Linked DNA regions of Styela clava. The protein of the gene in region 2 interacts with the protein of the main gene of each other region in a pairwise test. Links are inferred from orthologs where the notes say so. Each region holds a gene or a part of one and is shown on either strand. Other genes may lie near its edges. The genes, in order: vesicle-associated membrane protein 7-like and AP-3 complex subunit delta-1-like.

Region 1 (16,483 bases), about 9.2 Mb from region 2:
CCACAATCACATTTGACAAACTTTTTGCCACTGACATATTGTTTGCCGCTATTATTCTTCGTCTCATAAGATCCAATTCACCACCTTGAGTGTCAATGACTACACCACCGGCTTCTTCCACAATGATTCCGGCAGCACAATAATCCCAACAATGAATGCCAAATTCATAATATGCCTCTGCTCCCCCTTGGGCAACCATGCAAATATTGCAAGCTGCACTTCCAAGGCTATGAATAGCATGTACAGGGGCACTGATAACAGATTGCATGTTTTTAAAGATTTTATCTAAGTGCTTTGGATCTCGACTCGAACCACATTCAGTCATTATCATACTTTTCCCCAAATCCTGTTCTTTTGAAACTTTTAATTTTTTATCGTTCAAATTAGCTCCTTTACCTTTGAATGCTGTAAACATCTCATTCAAAATCGGGTTATAAACTACACCAAAAAGACGTTCTTTTTTCCAGACGAACCCAATACATACAGCAACATATGGAAATCGATGAACGAAATTAGTTGTTCCGTCAATAGGATCTACAATCCAAGTAGGAGCGTCCGTTAAATTACATTTTAGTCCGCCCGCAACAGACTCCTCGCCTATGAAATCATGTTTAGGGTAAGAATTCTTTATTGCTTCTAAAATTGTTTTTTCCACATTTTGATCAGTCTCCGTCACAAGATCTGTTGTGCAAGATTTTGTCAATATTTCTTTTTCCGAGTAAAAAGCATCCCGGATCATTGGGCCAACCTTTTTTGCCAATTCGATAGCAAATGCAAAATATTCTTCTGCTAATTGAAAATCTTCAGAATCCATTTTGATTTATTCTACTTTTATTGAAGTGCTATATAAAAAAGCAACATTATATATAAGTATGTTTATGATATTTGCAATGATAGTACACAATGTAACTTCATTATTTCTATATTATAGTACTGATAAAAAATACCCCTCGATTTGAGATATTGAAAATGGGCAACAGATTTTGGAATTTATACATCCCTGTATTAAATAAGCAGCCTTGAAGAATTTAGTTTTAATTTACAGCAGAGAATTTCCACAAAAAAAAAATTCCTTGTATATCATGAATTTTTAACGAATTGAAGTCAACACTGATTGTTCATGACACTAAAGAAAGATGATTAATTTGCAGTGAACACTTAACGAAAAAAGATTGAACTTGCGATTTGAGAATTTCAAATTTTCAACAACTTCAATAAAATAAAATCTAATTTATATCAGAGTCTGATGCCTCTCAGTAAACCTTTTTTGAGCATTTAGATTACCTGTCTCATTCAAATAAGCATTAGTATGAATTTTGGTTCAAATCATTTACATTTATACCATATCTACTAAAACCCATTATAAGATAACTAAGGCACAAATAAAGAGTATTACAAAATGCTACAACACTTGTATTAATAATTTAACTTAATGGATTTAAAAAGAAGAATTTTAGCACAGTCGCACAGCTTTCAAAAAAAACTTCTATGACATATCTCAGGGGTGACCAACAGGACGATTGCCACGTCTTGAGTTGTCGACCGTGCTTATCAACATGCCTGCAAGGAATATGTGTTTAACCAATATCCAAGCATCACTCATTTAAACATGAACATTATTAAGCAGCAGGTTCTTGTGTGGTATCTGTCAAAACTGAGCCCACCATACCAGAGCAATCCCGCACGGGCTTTTTTAAGAATCTGGGGGTGAACAGGGTTCCAGTCTAGGCAGGGGATAATTAGGATGGCTATATCCACAAGCAGCTCTAGTGTCTGGTGTTCAGGGATTTGAAGCGGAACATCCTTATTGAGGTTCAGTTCTAAATTTAGTACTCGTTCATTTTTGTGTGTGACTTTATTATCCATCAGTCAATCGCAAGATATTGTGAAAAATTAAGTCAATCTCAGTCAAAGACAGGTTGGCCCCCCCTGGCATAACTGCAGACATATTCATTTATAAAACAGTCAAGTGAGATAAACAATGCTATGTTTCAAGCGCATGAGAGCAATTCAGAGGAGTCCAAACAATTCAGAGTATATGAAATTCACAAATGAATATATTTCCGAAATCCCAGAATCATCAAAATTGGGGCTTTATATGGTAATTTTACACAGTTTTGAATAGTCATTCATGTTAGTAGAATATGTCCATTCGTGGAAATTCGATTTAAAAAGGGTTGTCAAGTTATATTTATTTATCATATGATCACTGGACAGAAAAAATATACAGCTAATGGAGTGAAAATGAGACATAACAAAAGGACACAACTAAAAACTATCATACCCTAAAATACAACAAAACAAACTTATCAAAAATATGAAGGATTATCATTTCCTGAACTTTTAAAATAAACTTTCTGTCATGCATTGTGCCAAGAGTCTAATTATCGTTGCACCACTGCTTACTTTACACATGAAACACAATATCAATTTTTGTGGAGATAGTTGCGTGCAAGGGTTGTTCAAATACATTGAAACAGATTGAACAGACCAATGCAATGAATTAACAGTAAATATTAGACTAGGTATGGTAAATGGGGAATACCTAATCAGCCACAGTTTCTAGCATGATTTATTTATTCGTCCAACATGAAACCATAATGACAATTCAGGTTGATGAAAAAATATAATACAATAAGAGCTACTCAAGGCAAGTGAATGAAACTCATCAAAAAAAATAACATGTACGACTAACGAATATCCAGTATTTAACAGAACCAAATTGATAAGTGTTTCCCAATATATGCTTGTACATTAACGAAGTCAGGAAATGACTCATTGGTGAAAATCATTGAAGAATAACCGTATTTGTTAAGTAAAACTCATACTCCAAATCTGCCTTTTAATAGTTTGACGGCACTTTTGTATCACTCAAAAACTATAAATGAAAAAGTCCGCTCTAGCAGAGGTATTGAACAAACTTAGAGAATTCACCAATTCATAGGTTCAGTTTATAACCACTATTTTCAGCTTAATGCACAACACAAAACTAGAACCATTATCAAAAAACAAAAATTTGACTTCAAAATGCATGAAAAAAAAATAACCCAAATCACTAATACCAAACTTTGGCAAACTATATGACAAACTCACTACACGAATCATCAAATAATAAATTCAATCAATTCTTGAACCATTATTAGATTTCCCCACGCACTTTGGCCAACTTAGTCCTCCACAACCCGCAGAAACCAAAAAATATATGACTATTATTGCAACAACAATCAGGACGATTGTTATTTTAACATTTTTCCAAAATAGCTTCCTAGCTAGGTTAGTGCTTTGTTTTTTGAAAGTGACAGATGATTGGCTAAGATCTTCTGTTTTATCCACAAGTAGATTGAGATTTTCTCCGCGTTCTGTTATGCTATCAATATTTTTCACCATTATACCCTTTAATTCATCAAGCTGATCGTTGACTTGTTTTACTTTTGAAATCTCGGGGGATTCCACGACAGGTTTGGAATACTTTTGCATTTGAGACCACAGTTCCCGCGAAAATTCATTATCCATCGCATATGGTAAAGCTGTCAAAGCAAGATCTCCATAGTTTCTCTGAAACTTTCTTTTTATTTCTCCCAGAAATTGGAACGCCTTCGAGCGCTCAAATTCATCTTCTGTTATGGCGTAATATACAATTCCATTTTCTCTTACATAATGAAATAAATAATTTCCTTGCGAATATGTCATTTTTGTATCCTTGTCTGGAATCTTTTTCAGTATCTGGTCCGTGACTTCGTCAAAATTGCCAGCACAACTTGCGCATTTGGCAAGAATTGTCGTCTCACGAGCGACAACAACATATAAAAGAGCCATACTTATTTTAGATAGACTAGTGAGCTAGACCATGCCCAATATAATTCTGTAAAGTTTCAAATTTTTCATTTAGCATTATAGTTTGATGTAAGACTGAATACGATAACTCAATCTCCTAATTAAACAAAAAAAAACTTTTCATAAGTACGGTATACCGGGTACAAACTTATTAATAATGTGCCAGGCTCTATTGCTGTGATTGGATATTTTATTTATTGTCCCAGCAAATTTCAGTACCAGGTACCAAGTCAATTCGACTCACTGCTGCTTCTATCACAGTATCTTTTTTTTTTTTTTTTTTTTTTTTTTTTTTTCTATAAAATTGAGATGGTATTTTTGAATAATAGGTTATCAGTAATAGGTTGCGCGAAAACAGCACAATGTGCCATGTGGTATAAAATTTAAAATATAAATTAAAAAGGAGTGAAAAAGATTTTGTTTCCACAAACAATGTTAATATTACAAAATAATACAAAACAATATTCAGTAATTGCAAAGCAATTTAAACATTGTTTTGTGCAGGCCAGTACTGCAGTATGACCATCGAAGGTCACTATGGCTGCTGCGCGTTTTTGTGCACTATGACTGTATGAGTAAACTGACAAAATTGGTTGCGACAATATAGCTAAATGGAAAGATGAGAAAATAGCCAGAGATAATTTTTATTCGACCATTTTACATCTTATAACTATGCAACTTGACTCGGCGTAAAATTTTTTCATAATATACTGTTACTGTTATATGGATATTTAGTATGTTATTGATCACCATAAAATAACCGACTCAATGTAGAGGGCCTAATCAATAAAAAAGCACATATTACTGTACTAAATAACACAAATGACATTAAATTATTATCAATTTCAGAAGTTAGACAACACTTTCAGACTTAACAGTAAATATTCTTCAAGAAAAAAACATTCATTATACTCATTCAGAGGCTATTATTATATAATATACCGGTACCTTATATCTGCATGAAATGACTGAATGATAAAACGCCTTTTCTCAGCAATAAAACTAAAAGGCGCGTTATCAACGTCTAAGCCCATCGAATGACAATTCGGGAACAACAGCCACGATATCTTTTTTTTTTTTTTTTTTTTTTTATTTATAAAAACAGTCAATATTATCAATACTAGTCAATCTTAAAAATGTACTATCAAAAGCTATGACATTACCGACTTTTCTAACAAGTTTTCAATTCTTCCATCCTCCAAAAAGCTATTTTTCATATTTGATGCCATATTTTTCAGCATCCCTCTAATTTTACATTTAAAAATTATTCTCATAACTGATTGGAAATTATCCAAATCTTCAAATATTATTTGATTCCTGAATTCCCAAATAGCTGCCTTTCCACATGCAACTATCATAATAACTGACAGGTCACATGTATTTTGTGCAATAATGGTATCAATATTATTTTCACTAAAATGCAACTCGCACCAATCCCAAAATATTTTAACATAATAGCATTCAAAAAATAGATGTTTACAGTCTTCAATGATATTAATATTGCACAACACACAGTGACCATCATCATATTCTGTCCAATGCCTTGTTCTATTTCCAGTAGGTAATGCCATATGAATTATTTTCCAACATAAAACTTGTACAATTTTAGATATTCCATGAACCCAAATGTTATTCCAATCAATATCAAATTCCAGTCCATAATATTCCTTAATTGATAAACCTTTTTGTTTTGTCACTTCCATTATCTTTTTACTTATAATTTGATTATACATATATTTCGTGGTTGGAAGTTTTTCAAATGAATATATTGAACTGGAATCTGTTTGAACATTACTTTGACTATTCAACACATTAGCCCATCCTGATGGTATGGCTTTTAAAATTTGTACAGAATCTTTTACTACTTTCCTATAACAATCAAGTTTTTTATTTTCACGCATACTACTCCATTTGTTTATGCCCCAAATTTTGATTGCTATTTCAAGACAGTCATATTGGAACAGATGGCCAAATGTTAAAATGTTTCCTCTTATCCAATTATTTATAAATTCTGGTTGATTCAACCATGTTAAGGCTGGATTCCACCATATGTATTGATCATATATTTGTTGTTTAGTGGTAATTTGTTTCGTTTTTACATCAAGTTCCTTGAATATGTTGACCGAATTTATATAAAACTTAGGAATGTTATTATTCCTTAAAATTTTCAAAGAGAGATGTAGTATTTCTAAATTTGTCACTGTTATTTTAGGATGGTATCTATTTATAAATTGTTTCGCTCTCTTTGCCCAAGGAGCCTCATCACTTTTTAATAATTTCCAAATCCATCTAACTTGTAGACTTTTAATCTGACTACACAGATCCATGGCCTTCAGACCTCCTTCAACTTTCCTTGCACAGCAGACTCTCCTCTCTACCGTGGGTTGTTTGTTGTTCCATACAAAATCCCATACTAGGGTCTCAATTGTTTTAATGATATCATTTGGAATTGTTATTACAGCCGCAAGATACCACAATTTAGATAATAATAGACTTTTAGTAATCAGTATTTTCCCTTGCATGCTCATAGTTCGAGCTCTCCATATATTCACTACTCTTTTGATTTTTTCTATAATTGGATTCCAGTTTTGTTGCGTCGTGTCATTGTTGCCGATCCAGACACCAAGGACACATAAACTATCCCTTTTTAATGCTATACCTTGAAACTATCACAGTATCAACAAGTCCCGTCCAACTTGTCATCATAGATTTCGTGCGTAAAGCGCTGCTGCAATGCAGTAATGCGACCCGCAATATCCATAATGCTGACTGGCTGAAGTGCGCTGTTGATAAAGAGGCCTAATTGTTGATAACGGGACATTCCTAATGCGACCTTACTGTGCGCAATGCGATGCTCCTCGAACGACCAAAGGCTATACCGGTATGCTACAGTACCGGTAGTCTATTATTTGATATGAGAAATATGGCTAACGCTTATACCGGTATACGGGGCATTTATAACATAAAGGGTTAGTGTGTATATACTAAGGTAAGGTTCTACGCAGATTCATTCTTGTGGAAGCTATTTCATACAAAATTACATTTTCGCAAACTTACATACAGTCGAAGTAGCCTACACCAAGAGGCGGAGGGAAATACTTTCACATGTATAAGTATAAGTTTATTTCGGGTCTCAATAATCAGCAAAACAATAAAATGATTGGTAAAAAAAATAAATAAAAACTGATTATGAAATCAGGAGAGCAAACAAAACCTTAGATAAGGTTTAAAACGTACAGAATGTATACAAGATGGCAGGTTTTGCCAAGAAGAAGTGGTACGTGTTCACTCACCTAAAATAATGAAAATATTTCACACACGCACCCACACACACAACCAGAAGTTATAAATTAAGAAGTTATAAATTACATACGGGTAGTTCAAAAATAAAATAAAAATTACTTGCCATACCATATTAATAAATTTATAACGTTTGCCACTGCCGAATTGATAGATTTTATAAATGGGAGTGAACAGTAGAGATAAACTTTTATGAAAAATATATTGCCAAGCCAACGACTAACATACCAAGCTGTGCCAAGCTGATTATAGTTGGAGCAATGACATTAAACAACATGATGCGCCACTCCGCCATTTTTGGCCGAAGATCGTGTCCGATAGCACGCTCCAATGCACATACTTGACGAGACGAAAACGAGCGGATGTGTGCTGCTTTCAAGGAATAGCACGAATGGTGTTCGTGCCTGCTTTGACAGTTGTTGTCGATTTTAATGATATTTTGTAAAGTTGAGGTAGAAAGAAATTGAAAAAAGGTAAGGTAAATACTATTGTTGTATATCACACCCGGGCATCGCACTGTTTAGTACATGTGGGAAAGCCAGCTTTTGTCAAATACTACGAAGTTATTAATTCAGTACGGTACGTAGTTGTCCATTTGCCGAAATTGCATATTTACTTACCCCTTATGGTTTCAAATAGTTCATGCACCTCCAGTTAGATTTTTTATTCAGTGAGGATATATACTCATTTCTGTAACATACTATTGCTCAATAACTTTTATTTGCGTATTGAATCAAAGGGTTAACAAGTTCACCTAACATTTTACTCATACCGGTCTATATTGTATAGTCTGATCTCTCAAGTATAAGAATGCTTGTAATTTTCTGACTAAACCCTTTTATTAGTTGGTTTATATACCAAATTCAGTAAAACATATTTTACATAGACATGGGATATTGGATTTATTAGCTTTCCCATTCTAAATCATATAGACTGCTTTATTCATTCTTAACGAAAATTAATAAATCTCCTCTCTTTCTTCAGATGTGAATGTTGTGGAAAAACCTGTCTAGCATTGTGAGACTCCTGCAGCACAAGCGGCAATAGCAAAAATAGTAAGTATATCAATCAAGAAATTAAGCCGACATAAAGCAAAACTTTCAACTATTCGTCTATTCTCAATTTCCTATTATTTATTCACAGGACAACTGTAGCAGAAGCAGATATCAGAAGTCTGGCGACATATCAGTGACAGTGTGATTCCAAGAGAGAGAGAGAGAGAATTTTTTTATTGTTTCGTCAAACCAGAAAACTCATACAATATATATATGATAGCAAAATGAGAAAAATTAGGTTTCGGTAGATGACAGGGTGGTAACGATACGACCATTAACAGTCATCTGAGTCGGTTACCACCCAAAGCAAGCACATGAATAAATAAATTAATAACACAGGTTCTGTAATATTACACTCTCAGGATATACATATGGAAAAAAACTATATACACTATGTAAAAAAAAAAATGATATATAATTAGAGATGAGAAAAATTTCTAATCGGGATTAGGAAGTTATTAAATAAATTTTAAATAGAGAGGAGCAAAAAATAAGAATTCCATTCCAAATTTATTATTATTTGTTATATTAATTTACACTTTCAATCTGTTCTGAATCTTCTTTTGTGCTTACACATGATAAAATATGAGGGATATGATCACAGGGAAATTGAAGGTTCTATGAGTGACAATAATGTGTTGTGTGAAGAAAACCATAGATTGAGATATGAAATGTAGGCATAAGAACCAAGAAATATAATTAGAATACTCCATAAATGTTTGCAATAGAAGAACAACCTATGGAGGCATGCAAATGCATTTGACCCTCCGGTAGAGTTGTGTATGGCCCCTACATCCTGCAAGGCTTGAGGAAAATAACTAAAAATTCCAATGCGTAAGATTGCATAAGCGGTCTTATTTGTGAAAAAGCACAAAACATGCCAGGCATTCTTAAAACAGCTTTGAAAAATGAGGATTTCGGGTCACTCACTACACCTGTGTTATATTTGGTCCATCAACTTTTGGTAGTACTGTAGAAGAAATTCAGGAAAGGGTATAATCATGATTCATGATAAAATACTGGTATATATTTTGGACAACTTCAATCTAGACCAAACTCGCGGCCCCAGAGAATTTCCAGTGCGGCCTCGAACGCTTAATAATAATTGTAAAAGTATTTTGGAATTTTTTTTTTATCTAAATGTAACAGATTTTTCAAACTTTTTAAAGTGAAATTGAATATTCACACAGAAAACAATTTACTGAAAGTAGTTTTAAAAAATTAATTTTTTTTGTTCACATTTTAACTCGTTTAAGAATACACATCAAGCTAGCAAAATAATACTTGAATAAAACACTTGAGTGATTAAATTAAACGCAAAGTACATGAAGAAGGTGGCATTTTCGAAGAAAATGGGAGTTGCAATATTTCTGCATTTCACAAAATTCTCTGAAGCACATTGTTTAATTTGTCATATTTCCATCAGTACAATGAAATAACACAATAGGCTCAGCAGTCAATATGACAAATTCGAAGACCAACTTCGAACAGAAAATTTCCATATGTTTGTATATTAATATAATTATACAACTCTTTTGTTACTAAATATCAATAATAATTCAAGCAATCCTATGCCATGCAATGTGGCGCGAAATTTCTTGTCGAAAAAATCTGTCATTTGTTTTTTTACTGATCTATACATGAAATGATAAATATAACTTTTTTGCATTACTGGAATTAATTAAACATTCGCAAAGATCCACATTAACCCATGATCATGTGACCTCGTTAGTTAGAGTTGGTACTATAAAATTATTTCATCCTGGCCAAACGTCAGGACAAATGTAATTAAAAAACATAGAGTTTATATTGTAGTATTTTTGTTAATTTTAGGTTCATATATTTAGATTGAGTCATTTTTTAGTGTATGTATTATTCTTTCCTTATCCAAAGCTTGTTCAAAAATGATTTTGATGGTTGTACATAGAATTTTATGATTTTTTGTAATAAATACAGTAACTTGCAATAATAGTGGAATGCAAATAATAACATGAAATTGCATTTGAAATTAAAAAAAATAATAAAACTTAATCCAACTGTTTAGTTGCATCCTAATATATGTCACAAACTAAAACTTAAATCTTGAAAATATCTTTCAAGTATACATTATTAAAAACTGTTTGCGGCCCTTTTTACAATTTCCAACATGCAATGCGGCTCTCGAAAACCCATGAGTTTGACACCACTGATCTATTCTAGACAATTCAAGCATTGCTTTGGGAAATAATATCACTTCAATTAAATTGAAAAAAATCTTGCCGTTTTAAAAACAAAATCGTTGCTATCATAAAGGTAAACCAATTCAGCCACTGGCAATATATTGGCCTTCACAAAGCAATGGAGGCAAAATTGAGAGTTCCTGAGCTAGAGAGAACTTTTGTTCTTTTCTTTGTCTTGAACTTTTCATACTCCACAGCCCCTATTAATTTTAATTTTAATTACCATGTGATGGTCATACATATCTTTAACTTGTATTTTCTGTAATGATGTATTATCTCAATGTGTCAAACTTTTAATTAGTGTGCATATTTTGCTTCCACATGACATGAATGTATTGTCTTGTTTATTACCTCAGCTTGGAGTATTGACAAGAAAAAGGTGCCAGTAAATTCTTTGGTATAATCAGAATTCACAATTAATAGGAATTATAAACAGCCACCAATCAATGAGAATTACATGCGAAATCCCTCACAATAAATTTGTCCAAAAAATTCACCTACTAAGGCAAGTTCGATAGGTGCAAACTTTGTGTTATGGAATTGTATCACAGCACCGTTAAGAGTAGTAAAAACAGTTTTGCTGTTTTGTATGACACCCTCTTTAAATGAAATTTCAATGTTTAAGCGCAAACATTAAAATGACTACCTTTGAACTTTGTCATTATCTGCAAAATGTCCCACACAAATCTTTACGCTATCGCGTTTGTAATCTTCTCTGATAAAAAAAAAAGTCTATGATGTCCATTTTACTCTTTACAGCTTGTATGTCATTCCAGCTTTCCAAGTGAGCAAAACTTCTTAGATATAGAGATTATTTTCTTACGTTACAGGCGCAAAAAGGCAGGTACTAAACGTAAAGAGGACGCCGATTAGCAAAAGCAAGCGGAAAACGGTCGCGAAAGGCGACGAGAAATATGTGCATTGGAGCGTATCATGAAATACAATCTTTCGCATGTAGTCTTATGGAGTGACGTCAGAGTTGCCTATCATGTTGTTTAATGTCATTGGTTGGAGTCAATTGCCAAAAATGCCCAACCAAAGTTGCCAGAATTGGGTGCATGAAGAGGTGGGCTAGTAGACCACTTCATTCCCCAAACTAGAGCCTATTATTGCCAGATTATAGTCCAGATTGTAATAAGTATTTAAAGGTACAAGTGACATAAGTTATTATAATTAATTAAGGTAGGACAACGGGGAATAGGAATATGTTGATTACCAAGGGTATAAGTAAGGTTTTTTTCAATCTTAGATATTGACTTCTGCAAGGACAAAGGAATTAGGATTGTTATTTCACAGGATCATTTCTTCATTTACTTAATGTAACGCAATTGTTGTCAATTCAAATTTATCATAGATGAGACATCAGACTGCCAATTTTGATGATGTAGATTGTAGACACTCTTTATATTCAATAAGCTAGCCATTAAATTGGTCATCACAAACGACCTGAAAAACAGAAAATAAATCTTCGAGTAGAATATTCAAGGGTTACATATTAGGAAATAACACTCACTACCCTACACTTTTGTTGAGAAGAAAATAATATTTTGATTAAATATTGATCATTAGTTATTTATCTTTAAAACGCAAGTTGAAAGACCTGATTTGAATTCTGGTTGGGACACAGGGTAAATAATCTTCGCAAACCATGTAAGATCTCTCAAACCACACTAACCATTTGTATGTTGGCCTTCACGTTAACTTCACAGTAGAACCTTAACCTAGAATAAAATTTTGTATACACACAAGACAAATCATTGAGTACCACAGCAAATCAAAATGAAGGGGAGAATCCAATATATCTCGACTGGTCGCCTAATTACAGTAATAGGTACAGGAGTTAAATTATACCTTCTACAACCCTCACAAAGAAACACACCACTCAAATAGAAATAAAAGATCATGCATGTGGAATATCAGAAACCCAACAAAAAACATGCACATGCAGATATCAGAATATGAGCAGCCATATGAGGAAGAATCTTATGCTTTGCATGCTATAGGACAAAATAAAGAGCCAGCTAGAATGCAAAACAAAACAGATGTGGAGAGCTTAGCTGCTTGTTCAAAAGCGTGGCAGTCAAAAACAATTTTTTCATATAATATTATTACAAAGTTATTTTCTTAACGGAAGCATCCAATTTATCTCTGATTCACTAGTTAACAGAGGGAGAGAGAACTGCTGTTTTGTTGTGTGAAAGGTATTATAATTATGTTAATTGCGATAATTTGACGCACAACGTTAACTGACCTGTCGATAAATTATCGAAATTCCAAATGGACGCGTAGAAAGACACGGGGCAATAATGTTTTTTTCAAACTCAAAAATAAAACTGAAACGAGCCTTTACGAGACTCGCATAGGATTTGCGGCTCATTTACCTTAAAACTAAATTCAACATCATTCCGTGGATACTTTGCCCGTTCGAGTAGAAAGTCTTGTTGTCAAAATTTATAATTTTTTCAAACTTACTCTGTTCAAGTAACAGAGCAGAAATCATTTTGCTATATTGTCATTATGAGTACAACTATTGCAGTGTGGCAACCGCAGGTGTCTCTCTTATGTCGATTATTGAAATTTTCAAATAATTGACTGCTTTTATAAATGATGTTTGGCGACTGCGCGTACAAATTAATTTATAGCTAATTTAATGCCCGGTATCTACTCGCAAAGATATGATAGAAGATTCAGATATTACTTAGCCTCAGAATCGAACCAAAGTTAGTCCGATCCGCACTGTCCCGGTTTTTTGTACCAGATATATGGTAAACCTACCTATTGAACGTTTTGTTATTGTGTTGTTGTTGTTCATCTTGTCAGTATTTTTCTTTCTTTTATTCTTTTTCTTAATGTAGGGAAAATTGCTTCTCAATAACTATAGTTGCCTTGAATTTTTTAGTGGTTAAAAATTGTATTTTCGCATTTATTTTCTCACTTTCATAAATGTCTGTGGGCTCCAAGAGATTCGTTTATTGTGTGCGATGACGTCATCAAAAATTGCGTTTGTTGCTTTCTGGTGGTCAGGCACATTCGCGAAGACAGCGGTACTGATAGTCTACTGCGGTGGTTCCCAACCTTTTTCTTGCAAGCGACCCAAATTTGAAAAAAAGAAATTTGGTGAAACCTCGCGACGTGAGTATAGTTTCAAATACTAAACGCATTGTAATGCTTTTATGGTCGAAAACTTAAATTACTAATACAAAATATTCATTTATGAATAACATTTATTTTACCAAAAATGACCTTAAAAATAAAAAACATGCGCTTATTTGTCATCGGCGAGTTTTAAAATTGTGGCCTGGAGATGCTGCCAAATTTTGAGCTGTGATACTTCCAATAATATGCAATTGGCCTACTAATGAGCAATAACTTGCGCCACTTGAAGAGCTCCAATGTGACCCTCGAACATCCATCAGTAATTTTAATAAACCAGTTAAAAGTTATTGATAATTGAATTACATCAAATATCGCATTTTATTATTTTTATTTTTTTGTAAAAACACAGTCTTATTTAGTCCTTATGTATTTATGGGAGGGAGAACGTGGTGAAATGTTACAGAGGCGAGTTGTTGCACAACAGCACAAAAATGGATTTTTTTAAACATCTTGATTTAAGTTAAAATGTTTATATCTTCATCAGCCAGGAGGATGTGCTGGTTTATTCTACAAAAAATTAATATCGTAGTGGTTCTTGGCATGTTTGATCATGGTAGCTATTATTGCATCAAACAGCTGTTTGGCCAAGGCTCAGTTAGTCTTTGAGTTTCAGTCTTAAATATGTTTCTGTGAATTCAAATAATAATGAACTGCAAGAAATTGTTATGTAAATGTAATTTAATATTTAAAACAAATCAATAACACAAAGTACTCCCCAAAGTACAACTCATTCAATAAATGGTATACTGAGTTTAAAATTCAAAATAATTCCAAATTCTTTTTTCAGAATGTCGTACATTTCTTCCATCGAGCACTTCTGAAATCTCTCTAACTTCAGTGTTACGGGGTCGATATATTTCTTTTCGTAATATAAATTTTTCACAAAAAATTTTCTTCTCTCCCTGTTTTGACGGATCACGATTGGTTTCGATATCATGAATTTTTCTTCATCTTGAGCATAGTCGTGCCCGACTTTACAATCTTCAAAGGTACACGGAGCTTTCTCCACACCAAATAGGATGTTCCACGGAATATCTTTGAAGCGAATTTCATCAAGTTTTACGCAATCTTTTTCGGCTTTACTGTTGAAGTAAAGTTGATCATCTACACAACAGAAAAAAGTCCACCTATACATTGTTTATCAATTGTAAGATATTCGTAAACTGCTAAATATTTCGGACCATTTTAAAAAATGATATGCGTTCATACGAATGTTAATTTCATGATACCTTGAACTGTATAATTTCATTTTACAAACAAAATTATCTAAAGATCCCTAGCACCGATCCGAATTTCGATTTAGACTGTGAACTGAACTCACATTCACTTTTCAAATAGGTTTGTCTCTTCTTCTCCACAATATACATATCTCGATTCTCACTCAGGCGATAAATTCCATTTGGTTGAGATTGTTCAATTCCTACTTTTAAATTCAACGGAAGAACAAATGATGATCCACCCCACCCAACATCTGTCAGGTATTTGTCTTCAGTGTCCCAAGAAACCTAAATTACAGTGTTGATATGATTTGTGGTTGAACCACGACTTTGGGAGCTTATCCTGAACCCGATGCCTGATTTGATCAGAGCCCCGGCATTTGTCTTAAAACGAATAAAAGCGTCAGGTTACTGGGGCGCTGTTTTACCCACTTTTCTTTAAAGTATAAACAGGGGAGAAGGAACGCATTTAAAAATATCTATCGAAAATTACCACCAATAATCAGATTTCTAGAAAACGTGATGTTGATCACTTTCAGTTGAAAAAAAAAATAATTACAGCGATGCTCAAATATATGGACACGAATGCCACAACGAAAAAAAAACCTGGTATGTAAGCTTACCATACGCCCCGCTTTAGGCGGTACAGTCCCACTTTTAAGCGTCTTGTCCCGCCGTCCCGACAAGTCAGCCAAAAGTCCCGCTTTGGCATTCAGCCATCCAGCATAAAACACGAGCATGTTCTCGTTACTGTTGTTGCTGTGTAGCGCAACGCTAGCGTACTTACTGAAGGTGAATGCGTTATTTTGTTTCGTTGTTACTCGCTAACATTGTCAGCGAACGTATCACATGTAAAATCAATTCTAATTGGTCCTGTTCGGACGTTCACGTGAATGTAACATTGAACAACGTCTTTTTGAAGGTGTTATCTACAGAAAAGCATGCTTGGGCGAATAAGTAAATCTCAATGCTGGAAAACGGCAGACTATTTCGTCTTTTTGAAGGTGTTATCACAGAAAAGCATGTTTGGGCGAATAAGTAGGCTAAATGTCAATGCTTGAAAACGGCAGACTACTTCATTATTTTTTATTCCTTTTGCTGTACATAAAAAATCTAAATTCGGATCATTTGTATCGTTAGCGTCTATTCCTTTCTATTTTTTGAACTGAACCCGATATTCAGACAGAGAATATGCGTTCGATGACAATATGGTCAATGACGACAGCCGGGATGGCTTTAAATGTAGGCCTATATAGTAAAATCGGAAACTGTAAAGTTACAGGGTCACAGCTAAGGGGTCGTGTCTTTGGAGGCGTCCCGCTTTGAAGTCAAAAAAAATGGTAACCCTACTGGTATGCAATCTAACAAAGTAGACTTCACGACCTTGCGTGACCGCGAACGCGGAACCGCCACAAGGTGCGTAATTTTGCTGACGTCAATGCACGCAAAAAAATGAATCTCATAGAGCCCACAGAATTTTTTGGATTAAATAAAAGCAATATCCTTCTAGCGAAAAATACAATTTTCAACCACTAATAATTCCAAATCAATTGGTCTGATGGTTTATGTGAAAAAGAAAGCATGATAAAGAAGAACAACGACATAATAACAAAACGATCCATATATATGTACATTTCGTGTCCAAAAATAGAGTGTATGACGTGAATATAAAGCGGCCACAGAATAACTCCGCAATCTCCGC
Region 2 (16,918 bases):
GTTGAAATACCAAACCGTTTTTAAATATGTTACGTCTGCATTGTTTATAAAAGTTTGAATACACGCTCTGTTTGGTATTATATATGGCCAAGTCAAAACGTGCTGCTACTGTTCTGACATAATGAAATCAAATCTATAAGGTATCTGCTTTACTCCGAATGAGTCGTAGTGCTGCCTTTATTGGCGGTTTTCGAGAAATCGCCCTTTCAAAAACGATAATTTTTTGAAATTCCGAAAAGGATCCACAAGAGGTCGTCAAATCATTTTTCGGCATTTTAAGATTTGCACACTAATTCCAAATTTAATGAACGTACAGTTTTGTTGTATACCCAAGAGAAGAAAGTATTTGATGAATTTTCCAGTAAATTTAGTTGAAATACCAAACCGTTTTTAAATATGTCACATCTACATTTTTTAATAAAATTGAAAATATACGCTATGTTTGGAATTATATATGGCCAAGTCAAAACGTGCTGCTACTGTTCTGACTCATTGAAATCGAATCTATAAGGTATCTGCTTCTCTCCAAATGTGTCGTAATGCTGCCTTTATTGGCGGTTTTTGAGAAATCGCCCTTTCACAAACGATATTTTTTTGAAATTCCGAAAAGGATCCACAAGAGGGCGTCAAATCATTTTTTGGCATTTTAAGATTTGCACACTAATTCCAAGTTTAATCAACGTACAGTTTTGTTGTATACCCAAGAGAGGAAAGTATTTGATGAATTATCCAGTAAATTTAGTTGAAATACCAAACCGTTTTTAAATATGTTACATCTACATAGTTGATAAAATTGAAAATTATACGCTATGTTTGGTATTATATATGGCCAAGTCAAAACGTGCTGCTACTGTTCTGACATAATGAAATCAAATCTATAAGGTATCTGCTTCACTCCGAATGAGTCGTAGTGCTGCCTTTATTGGTGGTTTTCGAGAAATCGCTATTTCAAAAACGATAATTTTTTGAAAATTTGAAAATAATCAACAAGAAGGCGAAACATGATTTTCCGTTATTTCATACTTTCCGCAACTCATTCCAAGTTCAATGGACGTACAGTATATATGTATGTCCAAGAGAAAAAGATGTTTGATAATTTATCTAGTAAATTTAGTTGAAATACCAAACGTTTTTTGAATATGTTACGTCTGCATTGTTAATAACTTTTTGAATACACACTATGTTTGGTATTATATATGGCCAAGTCAAAACATGCTGCTACTGTTCTGACATAATGAAATCAAATCTATAAGGTATCTGCTTTACTCCGAATGTGTCGTAGTGATGCCTTTATTGGCAATTTTTGAGAAATCGCCCCTTCAAAAACGATATTATTTTGAAATTCCGAAAAAAATCCACAAGAGGGCGTAAAATGATTTTTTCGGTATTTCCTACTTTCCGCAACTCCTTCCAAGTTTAATGGACGTACAGTATGTATGTATGCCAAAAGAAAATGATGTTTGATGAATTATCTAGTAAATTTAGTTGAAATACCAAACGGTTTTTAAATATGTTACGTCTGCATTGTTTATAACATTTTGAATACACACTATGTTTGGTATCATATATGACCAAGTCAAAACGTGCTGCTACTGTTCTGACATAATGAAATCAAATCTATAAGGTATCTGCTTTACTCCGAATGTGTCGTAGTGCTGCCTTTATTGGCGGTTTTTGAGAAATCGCCCTTTCAAAAACGATTATTTTTCGGAATTCAGAAAAGAACCCATTATAGAGAGCGTAAAATGTTTTTTTTTTATATTTTAAACTTTCCCAATTAATTCTTAGTTTAATAAACGTACAGTATTCATTTGTGACAAAGAGAAAAATATATTTGATCAATTTCCAGCAGCTTCAGTTGAAATACAAATCCATCTTAAATTTGCTACGTCGACAATGTTTATAAAACTGAGAATACACGCTATTTTGGTATTATTATATATAGCCAAGTCAAAACATGCTGCCACTGTTTTTTTATAGTGAAATCAAATCTATAGGGTATATACTTTTTTCCGAATGTGTCATAGTGCTGCCTTTATTGGCGGTTTTCGAGAAATTCCCCTTCCAAAATCGATAATTTTTCGAAATTTTGAAAGAAGCCACGAGAGGGCGTAAAATGTTTTTTTGGTATTTTATACTTTTCTTCTGCAACTCATTCTAAGTTTAATAGACGTACAGTATTAATGTGTGACAAAGAGAAAAATATATATTTTATCAACTGTTCAGCAAATTTAGTTGACATACAATTCCTTTTTAAATTTGTTTCGTCCACATTGTTAATAAAATTGAAGAGTATACGCTATGTTTGGTATTATATATGGCAAAGTCAAAACGTTCTGCTACCGTTCTGACATAATAAAATTGAATCTATAAGGTATGTGCTTTTCTCTGAATGTGTCGTGATGCTGCCTTTATTGGCGGTTTTTGAGAAATCACCAATCCAAAAACGATAATTTTTGAAATTCTCAAACTAATTCAAGGGGGTGCGCAAAATTTTTTTTATTATTATTTTATACTTTCTGAAACTTATTCTAACTTTAATAATGTACAGTATTGATGTGCGACAAAGAGAAAAAGATATTTGATCAATTATCCTGCAACTTTAGTTGAAATACAAACCTTTTTTTAATATGTTACGTACCTTTGTTTTAAAAATCGAGGAATATACGCTATGTTTGGTATTATATATGGCCAAGTCAAAACGTGCTGCTACTGTTCTGGCATAATGAAATCGAATCTATAATGTATGTGCTTTTATCCGAATATGTCGTAGTGCTGCCTTTATTGGCGGTTTTCGAAAAATCGCCATTTTAAAAACGATAATTTTTTGTAATCCAGGACAGAATTCACTAGGAGTCGCAAATGATTTTTTGCTGTTTTATACTTCCCGCAACGTATTCCAAGTTTAAAAGATGTACAGTATTAATGTGTGACAAAAAGAAAATGATATTTTATCCATTATCTAGCAAATTTATTTGAAATACAAAATCAATTTGAATTTGTTACGTCCATGCCGTTATTAAAATTTAGATTACACGATATGTTTGGTAATATATATGGTCAAGCCAAAACGTACTGCTACTGTTCTGTTATAGAAAAATCGAATTTATAGGGTATCTGCTTTTTTCCAAATGTGTCGTGGTGCTGCCTTTATTGGCGGTTTTCGAGGAATCGAGGTTCCGAAAAGGATAATTTTCCGAAAATTCGTATTTGCGGAATACCTGAAAATTCATTTTTCGCTTAGTTAGTCTTTTTTTAAACACTAATTTCTTGTTAAATTTAATGTATTCATTCAGTTTAAGAATTTTTCATCTATTTTCGTGCCAATATTATATTTTGATCAGCATTTTCAATTTTCATATTTACCTTATAAGTGAACAATATATGCGCGTGGAACCTATATTCAATGTATAAAAATATTCTGGCTGAAAGTGCTGCTAGCTTCACAGTGGTGGTACACATACTACAGGAGTATTCTTTTCTGTTGCTTGGTATTTTGCTTATTTTAAATATAAAGGCTTATCGTAAGAAAAAAATTTGGTGGCATCTCGCAATTTTTTTCGGTTCGAATATTGACAATTCTGTAAAAATTGAAAATTTCAGTAAGATAATTGAATTTTTCCCGATGGGGCCGTGGCCCATCAAGCTATGTGGCCAAATTAGATGGGCCGTGGCCCCGGCCCATGGGCCGTAGAAGAGTCACCACTCTTGTAGGACTTGGTAGACAACAAAACAAGTCGAATTACCTAGCCTATATCAGTATATTTAATGTAGCCACATATTTTTTTTTGATATTAAATAAAATAATAACATAGATCATTACATACAGATAAAAAATTCCATAATATTGATCATTCGTATCCACATATTTTATTACACAAGTATTGATCTTTAAGATCTATCGTCCTGTATCCTGCAATATTCAGATAAGTTACATCTAAAAAAACTTCGAAAATGGTTTTGCACTGGATCTGTAGCGACATCTAGCCGCCATTAAAACGATTTGGGGAAAAAAACTTCGATCCATAGGATAGGATTTACATATTTATCCCGGGGGAGAGGAAAGCCGATAAGACGGCTCATCCATATGGCGAACCACGGCCTCTCGTCCGGTTACCATTCCAAGTCAGGTATGGGATTAGTTATATTGTTTGTTTTCGGAAGCATGTTCGGAAGCATGTTATCAGTTACTTTTACTTTTGTTTTTATCTATTTTTTTATCGTCTATTGCTGATTATGGAGTCGAAATAAACTTATACTTATACTTATGGACTTGGTGGTGGAGGAAGCCGTAACCGACCAGCGGTTACGTGAACCACCCATAACTGAACGGAAACTTTTGACTCTGACTCAGGATACCAAATTGTAAACATCATAGCAGATATCTAAGATCATTCGGAGTTGATAAACTGCTGGCCGATTTCTTCTGCCATCAAGGTATGCTTGCCAAAACTGGCTAAATAATCCCATCCCCGACTTGGAATGGTAACCGGACAAGAGGCCGTGGTTTGCCATATGATTAAGCCGTCTTAGGGGCTTTCCTTCCCCTTGGATAAATATGTAAATCCTATCCTATCTAGATCTTACTATAAAACATCTAAAAAACAGCCCGGGAGATATTGCAATGTTTCAGTCGTCTTGTAACTTGGTATCACCACGACCATTAATCTTAGATATCATTACGCTGTGTCGAAAAATCATTGTTAGGCCACAATGGCGTTGACTTGTATTTGTGAGAAGACGCTTTTGTTGTACAAGTCATACGGGTCGAAAAAATCTTAATAAAATTGCAACTCACGAAGCTGAAAGGTTTGAAAACGTTGATGTCTCCATTCATTTAGGTATCAGCCTTCAAAGATTCTTGTCAACTACAACAGCAAGGGTGGGCAAGGCTTTTGAACCAGGGGTCAAAAATGTTGCCCATCTTGACTGGCGGGCCGCGTAAGTGTGATGTAAAAAGTTACATATCATGAACAGAATTTTATTGGCAGTGTTACAAAAGAAAAAGTGGGAAACAAGCCTCGTGCCAAAACTAAATTTAATCGAAATCTCAACAAATTCCTAGAGCTATTTTTAGCTAGAACATCAAAATTCTGATTTTAATTTGTTTGTAACAGCATCATGCAGGCCATATTGAATTACTCAAAAAGCCGGATTTGTCCCACGGGTCGTAGTTTGTCCATGTCAACTATAACAGACATTGGCAGGTTCACTAACACTTATATCTGCGCTAAACAACACATAATTAACATTGTCCATGAGTTGTTTATACGTGAGAGTTCGATATCAGTGAACCCCTATTCTAATTATATTATACTTTTTAACTGTTACCAGTAATATTTAATAATTAATGTAATCTGGACTACAATTTGGCAATATTTTGGTGTGTCCTTGGTAAATGAAAAGATTTATCCCACCTCTTCATGCACTCAACTTTGGCAATTTTGGTCGGCAATTTGGCATTTGACTCCAATTATAATCAGCTTGGCGAAATCTTTTTTTTTGTCCTTATATTAAATACTGTTCACTCTTGTTTGGGAATTTTTATGAAATTATTAAAATGGTGTGGCGAGCAATTCTTATTTTTATTATATTTCCTATCTTTTATTCTAATTTCTTCTTTACGTGTTTATTTTTTGTTGCCATATAATATAATTTATCCAAAGATCCCTTGAAAAGCATTGCACGATTCTGAATCGTGTTTTTTTGTATTGTTGGAATTTTTTTTTGGTGGGCGGGCGCGTACTTTGATGTTTTTTAATTTTATTTTAAGTTATGCTCGCTTTCCAGGTATCTCTGCATTTTGTTTGTTCGTCTACTTTTTGTGCTGTTTTGCTTTTTTGTCAGAGTAATGAAATAAATGATTGATTGATTGAAAGCTTCTCTCTTAGTTCTAACTTGATTATTGCCCTATGGTTGTGTGTGTGCGAGTGTGTACGATTTGATTCAATAGTTTTAGGTGAGTGAACATGCACCACTTCTTTTTGGCAATACCTTCCATTTTATATTCTGTACGTTTTAAACCTTATCTAAGGTTTTGTTTACTTTCCTGATTTCATAATCAGTTTTTATTTATTTGTTTTTATCAACCGTTTTATTGCCTTTTTGCTGATTATGAAGTCGAAATAAACTTATCTTATCTAACTATAGTTATCTTTTTAAATAATATGTTTGATAATATAAATATAACTTCATAATATATCAATATTTCAGAGGATATTGTCGAACCACCTTGTAACGGCTTCACCGAAACTCAGAGGTTTGATCGAACTCCGATTAAAAGACACTGAGCTAGACGATCATAACGGCAATCATAATTTTTGACGTTAAATTTCGATCGATATTTAACCATTTTTGGCAAGTAATAAACGTCAATATATTGGAGGTCAATCTTTGAGAAATATACCCTTATTGTGCTACGCGATGCAAATTATCCCATACGGAAAGTTTCTTTCTAATCATCCTATTATTTAAACCTGTTCAACTATTTATTTATGCATTTGTCTTTGAGTGGTAATTGACTTTGATGACTTCAACATTTTAAATCTTTATTTCATTTTTATAAATTGTATTGTTTTAATGTTTGCGAACGAATAAAATATATTTTTTAGAATGAACTGTTGCCTTCTATTTACAAGTTTCATGAGTCAATTTGAAAACTAGACTCTGATCAATACCCAAAAAACTATTGATAAAAGTTCACGACCTTTCTGCCACGGCGAATCGGAAACTTGATGAAGCGGAAAGGTTCGCAATCCGCCGGTCGATTTTTTCTTGATTTTCGTCGATTTTTTTTTGTGATTTTAAACATTTTCATGCATTGATTTGTAAAAGATATTTTCTCTGTTTCAATACATGATAAGTAAGTACTCACAAGGATACTTAACGCTGCGGAAATGTAACTACCGGTGCCGATAAGCGCTCATGTGACTTTTCGATATCTTAGACTTCACAGCAAATGCTGAAATGCTAACAACTGAAGATAACGCCGAATCGGCCAATGTACCGGTACCGTATTGGTAACAAGTAGATTAATAGACGGATATTTTATTTTAAAGCGACAGTACCGGTATGAGTGCTACAGTACGACGTAACTTACCTCCAACTATAATTTGACTCCAACTATAATCAGCTTGGCAATATGTTTTCAATAGAATCTTCCTTTTATATCTTAATTAACGATTAGAAGATCGATCAATTTGGCAATGGCAACCATTACAAAAATATCAATATGGTGTGGCAGATAATTTTCTTTTCTAGTATTTCAGTATTTATTTATTTATTTTTTTTTTGTTTACTGTATAGTATACCCTAAATTTATCGCGTTTTATTCTTACTTAAATAACTTCTCAGTGGTTGTGTGTGTGTGTGGCTGGTGGGTGCATGTGAGCGTGTGTGAAATAACTTAATAATTTTAGGTGAGTAAACACGTACCACTTCCTCTTGGCAAAACCTTCCATCTTATATTTTGTACGTTATAAACCTTATCTAAGGTTTTGTTTGCTCCCCTGATTTCATAATCAGTTTTTATTTATTTGTTTTTATTTATTTGTTTTTATCTGTCAAATGTATTGTTATGCTGATTATGGAGTCGAAATAAACTTATACTTATACTTATACTCTAAAAACAAAAAAGCAAACAAGAAAAAGAAACAAATTTAAATATTAATAATATAACTCTACTGTCTGACTGTTTTGGTAGTAAAATTCAGATGTTGATGATAAATTTTTCCACGAATATATAACAATTAATGTAATGATTGTGGGGCGCTCCCGAAGTATGCGAACCAAGATGGCGGACATCCGAATGTAACAGGTTAGGGTTAGGCGATAATTTTTTTCCAATTTTCCTTATTTTAGTCCTATTATCAGTTCGAAGACTAGCCAAGAGCCTCCCGTAGTATTTATACCTAAAATTATGGCCTAACCCTAACCTAGTACACATATTACATTCTGATGTCGCCATCTTGGTTCGCATACTTCGGGAGCCCCGATTGTGGAACCAGTTCTTAACATTATACTGTTATAGTCTAATATTTTATAAGGGAAGGGAAGAGGAAAATTTATGGAAGTTTGGATCACTCAACTGCATATTTCCAATGTCTGTATTTAATCAGTGTTTACAGGAATTACAATGGTAAAATTTGAAAATAAAATCTAAATAAATTAGTCTTTAAATCAGCAAAAAACACCATTAAAATTGGTTGGGATTTATCAATAGGAGTTTCAGCTGAACAAAACAGCAAGATGGCTCTTACACTGAAAAAAGTGAAGGGAAGTTTGGATCGAATGTTTGATAAGAATATGCAGGATCTTGTCAGAGGAATTCGGAATCATAAGGAGTCGGAGGTTTGTGTCTTGTTTGTTTGTGTTCTGAATTTTTTTTTTGTGTCATTGCAATGCAATTCTCAGCCAGGGGAAAATTGCTGAAAATCAAATATGCATTTCCTATGTGATAAATTGGGTGGACAGTACCATACCAGAAAAAAATTCGCACATATGTACAGAGACTTGCTGTTATGGACAGGGAATAAATTTTAATTTTTAAAACTCAATATCAATCATTTATTATAAAATTGGGTTGGCGAGGCAGAATTGGAAAGGTTCTGATTTTATAATGGAAAAGTTTTATTCTTTCATCTATCATTTTATTTATTCAAGATATCTTGAATTTAGAAAAAAAATCATGAACCTACTATCAAATATGACTGTGTGGTTAATTAAACTAGTAGCATTTATTATTAACTACTTCCCCCCCCCCCCCCCTAAAAATTTATTGTTGGTGAATTTATATGCACTGAAACCCAGAGTCACAAGCCGAGTAAGGTCAAAGGTTATCCTAGTATTTGTTGTTAAGTCTATCACATTTGAGTCTTACTGAGGACCAGACTGGATGCCATGGCAGGTGCACACCTGAGTTTGCTAATGCTCCCTCAAAATGCATGCGAGCGAAATTCCATTTTACACGCCGGAAAATTTGGGATTGTCCACCGTTATATATGACAGTCTGGAGGGTGGTGGAATGAAACAGCCACCAATAAACAGTGCTGATGAGTTTTAATATTACAAATTGACCTTTCGGCATCAAGAACATGCCATAACCCACGCCGATTAACAGCTAAATGGGCCTCTCTTGAAATGCGAGACTTTTTTGTTTCCTGAACATAATTGTTCGATTAATTGACCTTTGGCATATGCAATCGGATCGCCTTCGTCATTTGCTAGATGGAACTCTGCGTCAAAGCACCCCGTTAAAATAATAGCCTATCACACTTGTTTATTCAAAGTTTTTCCGATATGGCCATTCTGTTAGTTGCACGCTGAGAATCTAGGTTTTCACGCAGTTTTAGTAATTTTGCACGCGGATGCAGACATTTGGAGTGCTGCAGTCACTGATTGCACCCGATTTCTCATGGAAAAAGGTCATGAATTCCAGACTGGACTGAGAGTTAGTCTACGAGTCATTCTATTCAGATAACTTGAGTCACCTTGAGTATTTGATTAAAGGTGACTCGATTCCAACTAGAGGCGAGTCAATCACTGAGTTAATTCTCATTGGGGGTTTGTCAACTTCGAGCCATTTCATTTTGATGACCAACTCAGAGTATGTGTTTGATAAATCTTGACTAAAGTTGATCTCGAATAGAGTGACTTAAGCCTAATTGAGACCTATCCAAAGTGTGAACATACTTTTTTGTAATTCAGTCTCGCTACATCGCTGGTTGTGTTGAAGAAATCAAAAGTGAACTGAAGCAAGACAATGCGGCAATCAAGGCAAATGCTGTTAACAAGCTTATCTATGTGAGTTGCCGGTTAATATATTATTTTTTTTTAAAAAATATTTCCTCAAAGTAAGGTTGTCCTCACTCAGAAGTAAAGGAAACTCACATCTGAGCAAAGTTATGAGTTTATGAAGGCAATTCTTCACATAATACGTCGCATTACATCTTGTATAACTGCCCTAAAAACCAAACCAGCTGTTATGCCACGGCCTAATATCTATCCCTATTCCTAACCTGCTGTCTGTATGACGGCCCAATAGCCCTCCACAGAGGGGGCTATTCAAATGACGATTAGGGCCATACATCCATCGCTATTCCTAACCTACTGTCTATATATCAACCTAATAGCCTATTGCAGGGGTGGTCATTCAAATGATCTATGACAGGGCTACTCAACTGGCGGACCGCGGTCCGAAATCGAACCTTTCGAGTATTTGATTCGGACCGCACCTAATTCTTTATTTTAGATCATTAGCCCCACTTTTGAAGTTTCCTTTTATAAAATGACTTATAGTTTTGAATATATATGAAAACAACTATAACACCATAATAAGCAATTTTGATTAGCTAATAATCATTAGCCGGTCGAGGAAGTGTGCGTTTAAGGATGCCGATATATAAATTCTGGAAAGTGCGGACCCAAATAATTTTGAATTTTCGCATGCGGATCTTCGGTGAAAATAGTTGAGTAGCCCTGATCTATGAGACCATAATATGGTTCGATATATTATATCCACCTCCATTTCTAACCTACTGTCTATATGGAAGCTCAATAGCCCTATATAGTGGAGGCCATTCGAATAGCGATGGGGTCCACATCAGTGTTAACTCTAAGCAAATTATGAGTGCGAAAGTGCTTCGCAGTCGAAAAAAAAAGTGCGAAAGTGCTTTTGCCGATTTTCACAAGTTATGTGCCCTAGCCTTTCATATAACCCATTTAAAACGGCATAGATACTCGAGAAAGCGCTCCACCGGTTAATATTATGAATTAAAGAGAAGCCTTTTCGTTAACCGAGTTCCCTTTAAGCGAATTCATGTTTAATTAAAACAAGCGAATTCAAATTCGAGCAATTAGGGTCATAATATACTCCATAATCTACTGTCTATATTACAACACAATAGCCCTGTATAGAGGAGGCCATATCCCTATTCCTAATCTGCTGTCTATATGGCAGTCAGGCAGCCTGCTATGGAGGAAGCCATTTAAATGGCGAGTAGGGCCGCATATCCATCCCGATTCCTACCTGCTGTCTATATGGCAGTCAAGTCAGGGAGGCAATTTGAATGGTGGTTGGGACCATATTATCAACCTTCTGTTTATGTCAGCCCAATAGCAGCTCTGTATAGCACTATACAGAAATTCAAATGGTAATTAGGATCATACATCCATCCCTATATCTAAAGAACTGCTTATATGGAAGCATAATATCCCTGTATGAGGTAGGAAATTCAAATGGTGTATGGGACGATACATCCATCTCTATACCTAACTTTGTCTTATTCTTTTCAGCTTCAAATGCTTGGGTATGACATCAGTTGGGCAGCTTTCAATATCATCGAAGTCATGAGTTCACCAAAGTTCACATTCAAGGTTGGTACGATGGTTGCATTGCATTTAATTCACAAATTTATTTTGGGTAGGAAAATGTAGATATTCATAAGTAAATGCAGATTCTATCATTCAGTGTAAAAATTTTAGAAATATTTTCATTTCAGATTCATTTTGAGCAATTCATGTCTCACAGTTTTCACACTTTTAATTTCTTAAAACTTTATAAAAGAGAAAGCCAATTAAATCATTAATCATCTCAATTCTCTCCGACATTATCGTATTCAATCTCATTAAATGGAAATTGACTGTTTTATATTAAAAATTATTCGGCTTAGAATAAATTATTATTACAGAATGTAGTTGAAATGATAAACTGTTTGGTTCTGGCTATCCTGTCATAGAAGTTACCAATCATGTCTGAATTATTTAGATACTGCTGTAAAGCTGTTTATATCTCATGACAGTCTCTTTTACCTAGTAAACAGCTGTATTAAGAAAACACCTAATTGAATTACATAGACAATGTTGGGCACTCTAGGAGTGTGTGTACCAATATGGAGGTAATTTTGTTCGCCTCCTTTACATCAAGTTTTGTAAAGGGACTGAAGCCTATGGGCAGGGACTACCTGGTACGCATGCACTACGGAGGTACCCAAAGTTGAACATGAAAGATCGCTGCCCTTCCGATAAAGTTGTAGCACCTCATATTTGAGTAGTTGCTTACAGAAGGCTTTGTTCAGCCCTAACAAATATTTGTACTCTGTCTTGTCAAGCATTCATTTCATTATGACAACTAATACAGATAAATATAAGTATAAGAAATCAGGAGAGCAAACAAAACCTTAGATAAGGTTTAAAACGTACTGAATGTATACAAGAGGGAAGGTATTGCCTAGAACAGTGGTTCTTAAAGCATGGGTCGCGACCCAAACATGGGTCGCGGAAGGTTTAAAAATGGGTCGCGACAAGGTCGTTAATGCAAGGGCAATCTAAGAGGAGACGGACGAATTTTCAGATTTCCCAATGTTTCAATTTAGCTTCCAAACTCTGGTATTTAAAAATAATGGAATATAAAATTTCATTCACGGAAAGAACTGTCTTGAGCTCATTGTTACATCACAATTCTGATATGCCAGTCACGTGTATTATTTTTATGGTAACGGTAACCATGCAACGTTGTGTTGACCGCGTGGAATGTCGTCTTAGTGGATTAAAATAACCAAAAATGGGTGTCGTTTTGGTATTGTAAATTGTAATAGACGACGCAATGAAAAAGCTCGCTTCTCGACATTAGATTATTCAATATCTAGAAAAAATGTGACTTCATCTCGAGGCACCATTTACCGCGAACGAAGCGGTGTGTGCACATTTGATGAGTAAAAAGTTGTATATTGCGAGAGATACCGAAGGCCAGCTAGGATGTCGTGTTTGCGACGGACAGCGGACGCCTCTGTTGCTACAATTCGCGACAAGGCATTTGTGCGAGCGAGGATATTTGGCACTGACGGTTATCAAAACTAAGCTCGCAATCGCCTCGATACCCGTGACAACTTGCGTATTGCGTTATGTAAAATAGAGCTGTGTATTGAAGATATAATGAAAAGGAAATTTCAGTTTCATCAATCTCACTGAGTCAATGGACTGTTTCTAATAAATAGTTGTCTGTATTTGAGTCAAACTGTACTAACATTAAAAACACATTTTGCGTTATTTAGGATTGGGTCGCGAGTATTCATAAAACTCAGATTTGGGTCGCGCTCGAAAAAGTTTAAGAACCACTGGCCTAGAAGAAGTGGTACGTGTTCACTCACCTAAAATAATGGAAATATTTCACACACGCTCACACGCACCCACACACACAACCATAGGATGACAGGGTACCTGATCGCACAAAGCTAGACTGCGAAAACGCCTCACAGAATTAATCATTCTTTTCTGTTTCAGAGAATCGGATATTTCGCTGCATCTCAATCATTCCACTCTGAAACCGACGTTCTCATGTTGACAACGAATATGATTCGAAAAGATCTCGGATCGCAGACAATGTACGATACAGGAGTCGCTCTCAGCGGACTGTCATGCTTCATTACTCCGGATTTAGCAAGAGATTTAGTCAACGATATTCTGGCTTTGGTGAGTTTTTTGATGACTTTCTGATCAAAGTTGTACAGGCAATGCTATAGTGTCTCAATCATACACTAATATGCAGGCAGAGGCCTGTAGTTACTCAATTACCAGAATTTGGACAGATATTATTTTGCACATGAGCCAAACTTAATTCAGTAGTTTTCTACCCTGGTTACGTCAGTGCAGCACAGAAATTCCGCAAGTATCCGCTTAAATCTTAGAGTCTAAATTATTATATATATATATATATTGTTTAAATACAACCAAATACCTTTATTAGGTTTGCTAATTTACTTATATCATTAACTTGCTACACTTTATTAAAGATCATTTTGTTTTGCCAGTATTAGATTTGCTTAAATATATACAAATTTGTTCGATTTTTTAGTAATAACAATTAAAAATATCGCTCATAATAACAACTGTAAGTTCGAATAAATTTTATAGTATGATAAATTGATAAGTGAGAACTACGAGCACAATAAGAACTATTAATAAACAAAGACAAAGAAATTTTTAACTGTTTTACTATAAACTCAGGCGATACTTTTTGGACACCTTATGTAGATAAATATGTAGTTATACTTTATACAATTCATACTATTACACAGGGACCTCTATTCTTATGCCTCTGAAATGCCTCTACAAAAAAGATTGATAACCCCCGATTTGATAATTAATAAAAAATCTTTATTCTTCAGATGTCATCCACTCGTCCCTACATTCGCAAACGAGCCGTCCTTATTTCATATAAAATATTCCTTGCTTATCCTGACGCTCTTCGACCTGCGTTTCCAAGATTAAAAGAAAAGCTGGAGGACCCTGATCAAGGTTGGTGTAATTTTTTTTTTACTTTTTACTCTGAAAAAGTCTCAGTATAAGCAATCACTGTTGAGTTAGGGCAGGGGTGGGCAACATACAGCCCGGAATTTTGAACGACCCGCTGACTGTATCCAACCACACTCTGTAATATGGTCCGACGCATCATTCCTGAAAGTTGCCGATCGCTCTACTCTCACCGCACTGTCAGTGCGAGCTTGGGAAATAAACAATTTTCTAATGAACAAACAATTGTTACAAACACTTGTTAAACAAACAATATAAGGTCAAAGCAGAGAGCGTTGTAAACATTCCCCACTACTGTTATCAGATGTATTTATATTTAGATTCTAAATATAAATGGATTTTAGAAATTAGATTTTATATTAAGTTTTATTAACCATGGAATATCCCAAGAAACGAAAAATTGACAAGAGAGTGTCGAGCATTTAACAGAGGTTGGATATCGAAGTATTTTTTGTAATAATCCGGCCCGCCGAGGACTTCATTTTCCCACATCTGGCCCGCCGACTGGAGAAGTTGCCCATCCCTGAGTTAGGGGTTAGATTATTTTTAATAAAGGATGGAAATCATACTGATTCAGCATTGCCTACTCAATTTTTTACACTCAGGTTGAGGAGGGAAACGGCATAAGAATTGAATCCAAGATGTGTAATCTGCTAGTTTTTAGTTTGTATTCATTTGTTTTTTACACTGAACAAGTAATCAATCACTGATAGGTGAAAAGCTATGATATTTTTGAATGAGCTCTTTTTAGTTCAGCATTCCCTATCCAATTCATCACACCCTGACCAAGGTGTGTATGTTTTTCATCAGAACAAGACTGCTTATTGAAGGGCTTAGTTTCAAAGTATCACAATCATTCAGGTTCAGTCTACTCAATGTAATACACCCTAGGTCAGGGCTACTCAACTATTTTTACTGATGACCCGCATACAAAACTTCAAAAATATTTGGGTCTGGTCTTTTCAGAAATTATATTTCGGCATCCTTTTTCGGCCGACTAATGATTATTAGCTAATCGAAGTTGTTTATTATGGAGTTATAGTTCTTCACATATATATTTAAATCTATAAAAGTGATTTTATAAAAGGAAATTTCAAAAGTGGGGCTAATGATCCAAAAAAAGGAATTAGGCGCGGTCCGAATCGAATACCCGTCCGGATTCGGACTGCGGTCCGCCAGTTGAGTAACCCTGCCTTTGGATTATAAGCGGAGAGACATAAGACGTTAATCCGATATGTGTAATCTGCAACACATCCTGGTTCTTAGTTTTTATTTATTACTTATCGATTTTAATCGGTAAGTATGTTGATAGGTATTTGTCTGTCTGTCTGTCTGTTAGATGCACGCGATATCTCACGAAAGCGAGATTGAATCTGCTCCAGATTTTGCATGTGCATTCATCATATGTCGTACCAGAAGCCTATTGATTTTGGATGAATTATGTCGTATAATTAACGAGTTATTAATTAATTAGTGATGGGACACAAGGTGTCACTATGGAGTATGAGCGCTGTTTTGGTGGATCCCCTAACTTTCGATCGATAAGTCTTCGGTCTCTGACCGATATTCTCGTTTGTGCTTTACTCTGAATAAGTCTCTGTCCAAGCAGTCAATCACTGATAGATGAGAAACTATTATATTTTTGAATGATCAGAACCGTTTCTGGTTCGGCATTACCTATTCAATTTATTACACCCTGTGTCATAAATTGAATTAAGTGAAGGAATTTGATGTGCTTGGTGCAGCTAATGGCAGGAATATAAAGTGTATAAATTGAATTAAAAAACACTGTTTAAATAAAACAAACCTGGTTAAGATATATTGAGTTCATAACAAGATTGAAATTGTAAAAGGACTTTATGACTTTATGTATATCCTGAATAGTAAATTATTTGGTTCCGATCATCCTTGTATTGAATATTTTAAATTTCTTCATTTACTGTTCCAGTTAAATATTGATTTTGATAACATTACTGATCAATAATCATCACAAATTTTATTGATTTTATGTTTTAAATTTAAATCAAAATGAAGTATCTACCTTTTGATATTATGAATGAATGTTCCCATTATGTGAATTATTCTGTAACATATTTCCAAACTGAGAAAACCGAATTTAGACTACAAAAACTAATACTCCTGTAATGTATGTTAGGTTAGGGTCAGGCCATAATTTTATTTCGATTTTCCTTTTTTTAGTTTTATTAGGAGTTCGGGGGCTGTCTGTTTCAGACAAGTGAATATACCCCCTGCCCATAGGCTTCAGTCCCTTTACACAATTTGATGTAAAGTAGGCGAACAAAATTAGTTACCTCCATATTGGTACACATACTTTTCCCAAAAACTTTGTCATATGAGCCCCTTTGAACGTTTTTAAGTTTTCGATGAAAATTTGGAATTCATTTTTTGCTATTAGATAATTAAAATTCATGCTGTGTGTTATTTTTCTAATATTTAGATATTGAACCCTGGTCTTCCAAAATGACAAATTTTGAATGATTTTGAAATTGCAGACAATCCATATTTATATCATCAAAATGTAGAAAATATTGAACAAAGTTATTTCAACTAGTTACACGTCTGAGATGGGCACAATATACTCGAACACATT

The links.
Region 1: the proteins of AP-3 complex subunit delta-1-like (region 2) and vesicle-associated membrane protein 7-like interact in a two-hybrid assay, tested with the Homo sapiens proteins (2 studies listed by BioGRID and IntAct). The link is inferred for Styela clava from reciprocal best matches to the Homo sapiens genes AP3D1 and VAMP7.

The regions. Positions count from the first base shown.
Region 1 is NC_135250.1:21,520,303-21,536,785, reverse strand, and holds vesicle-associated membrane protein 7-like, read right to left. Parts: upstream 3,921-16,483; 5' UTR 3,817-3,920; coding exon 3,118-3,816; 3' UTR 843-3,117; downstream 1-842. Other genes in the region: inositol monophosphatase 1-like, read right to left, coding at 1-814; arylamine N-acetyltransferase 2-like, read right to left, coding at 14,292-14,668, 14,886-15,069. UniProt on the Homo sapiens protein: Involved in the targeting and/or fusion of transport vesicles to their target membrane during transport of proteins from the early endosome to the lysosome. Required for heterotypic fusion of late endosomes with lysosomes and homotypic lysosomal fusion.
Region 2 is NC_135250.1:30,759,809-30,776,726, forward strand, and holds the start of AP-3 complex subunit delta-1-like, read left to right. Parts: upstream 1-8,121; 5' UTR 8,122-8,247; coding exon 8,248-8,349; intron 8,350-9,705; coding exon 9,706-9,801; intron 9,802-11,292; coding exon 11,293-11,373; intron 11,374-13,278; coding exon 13,279-13,467; intron 13,468-14,162; coding exon 14,163-14,292; intron 14,293-16,918. UniProt on the Homo sapiens protein: Part of the AP-3 complex, an adaptor-related complex which is not clathrin-associated. The complex is associated with the Golgi region as well as more peripheral structures.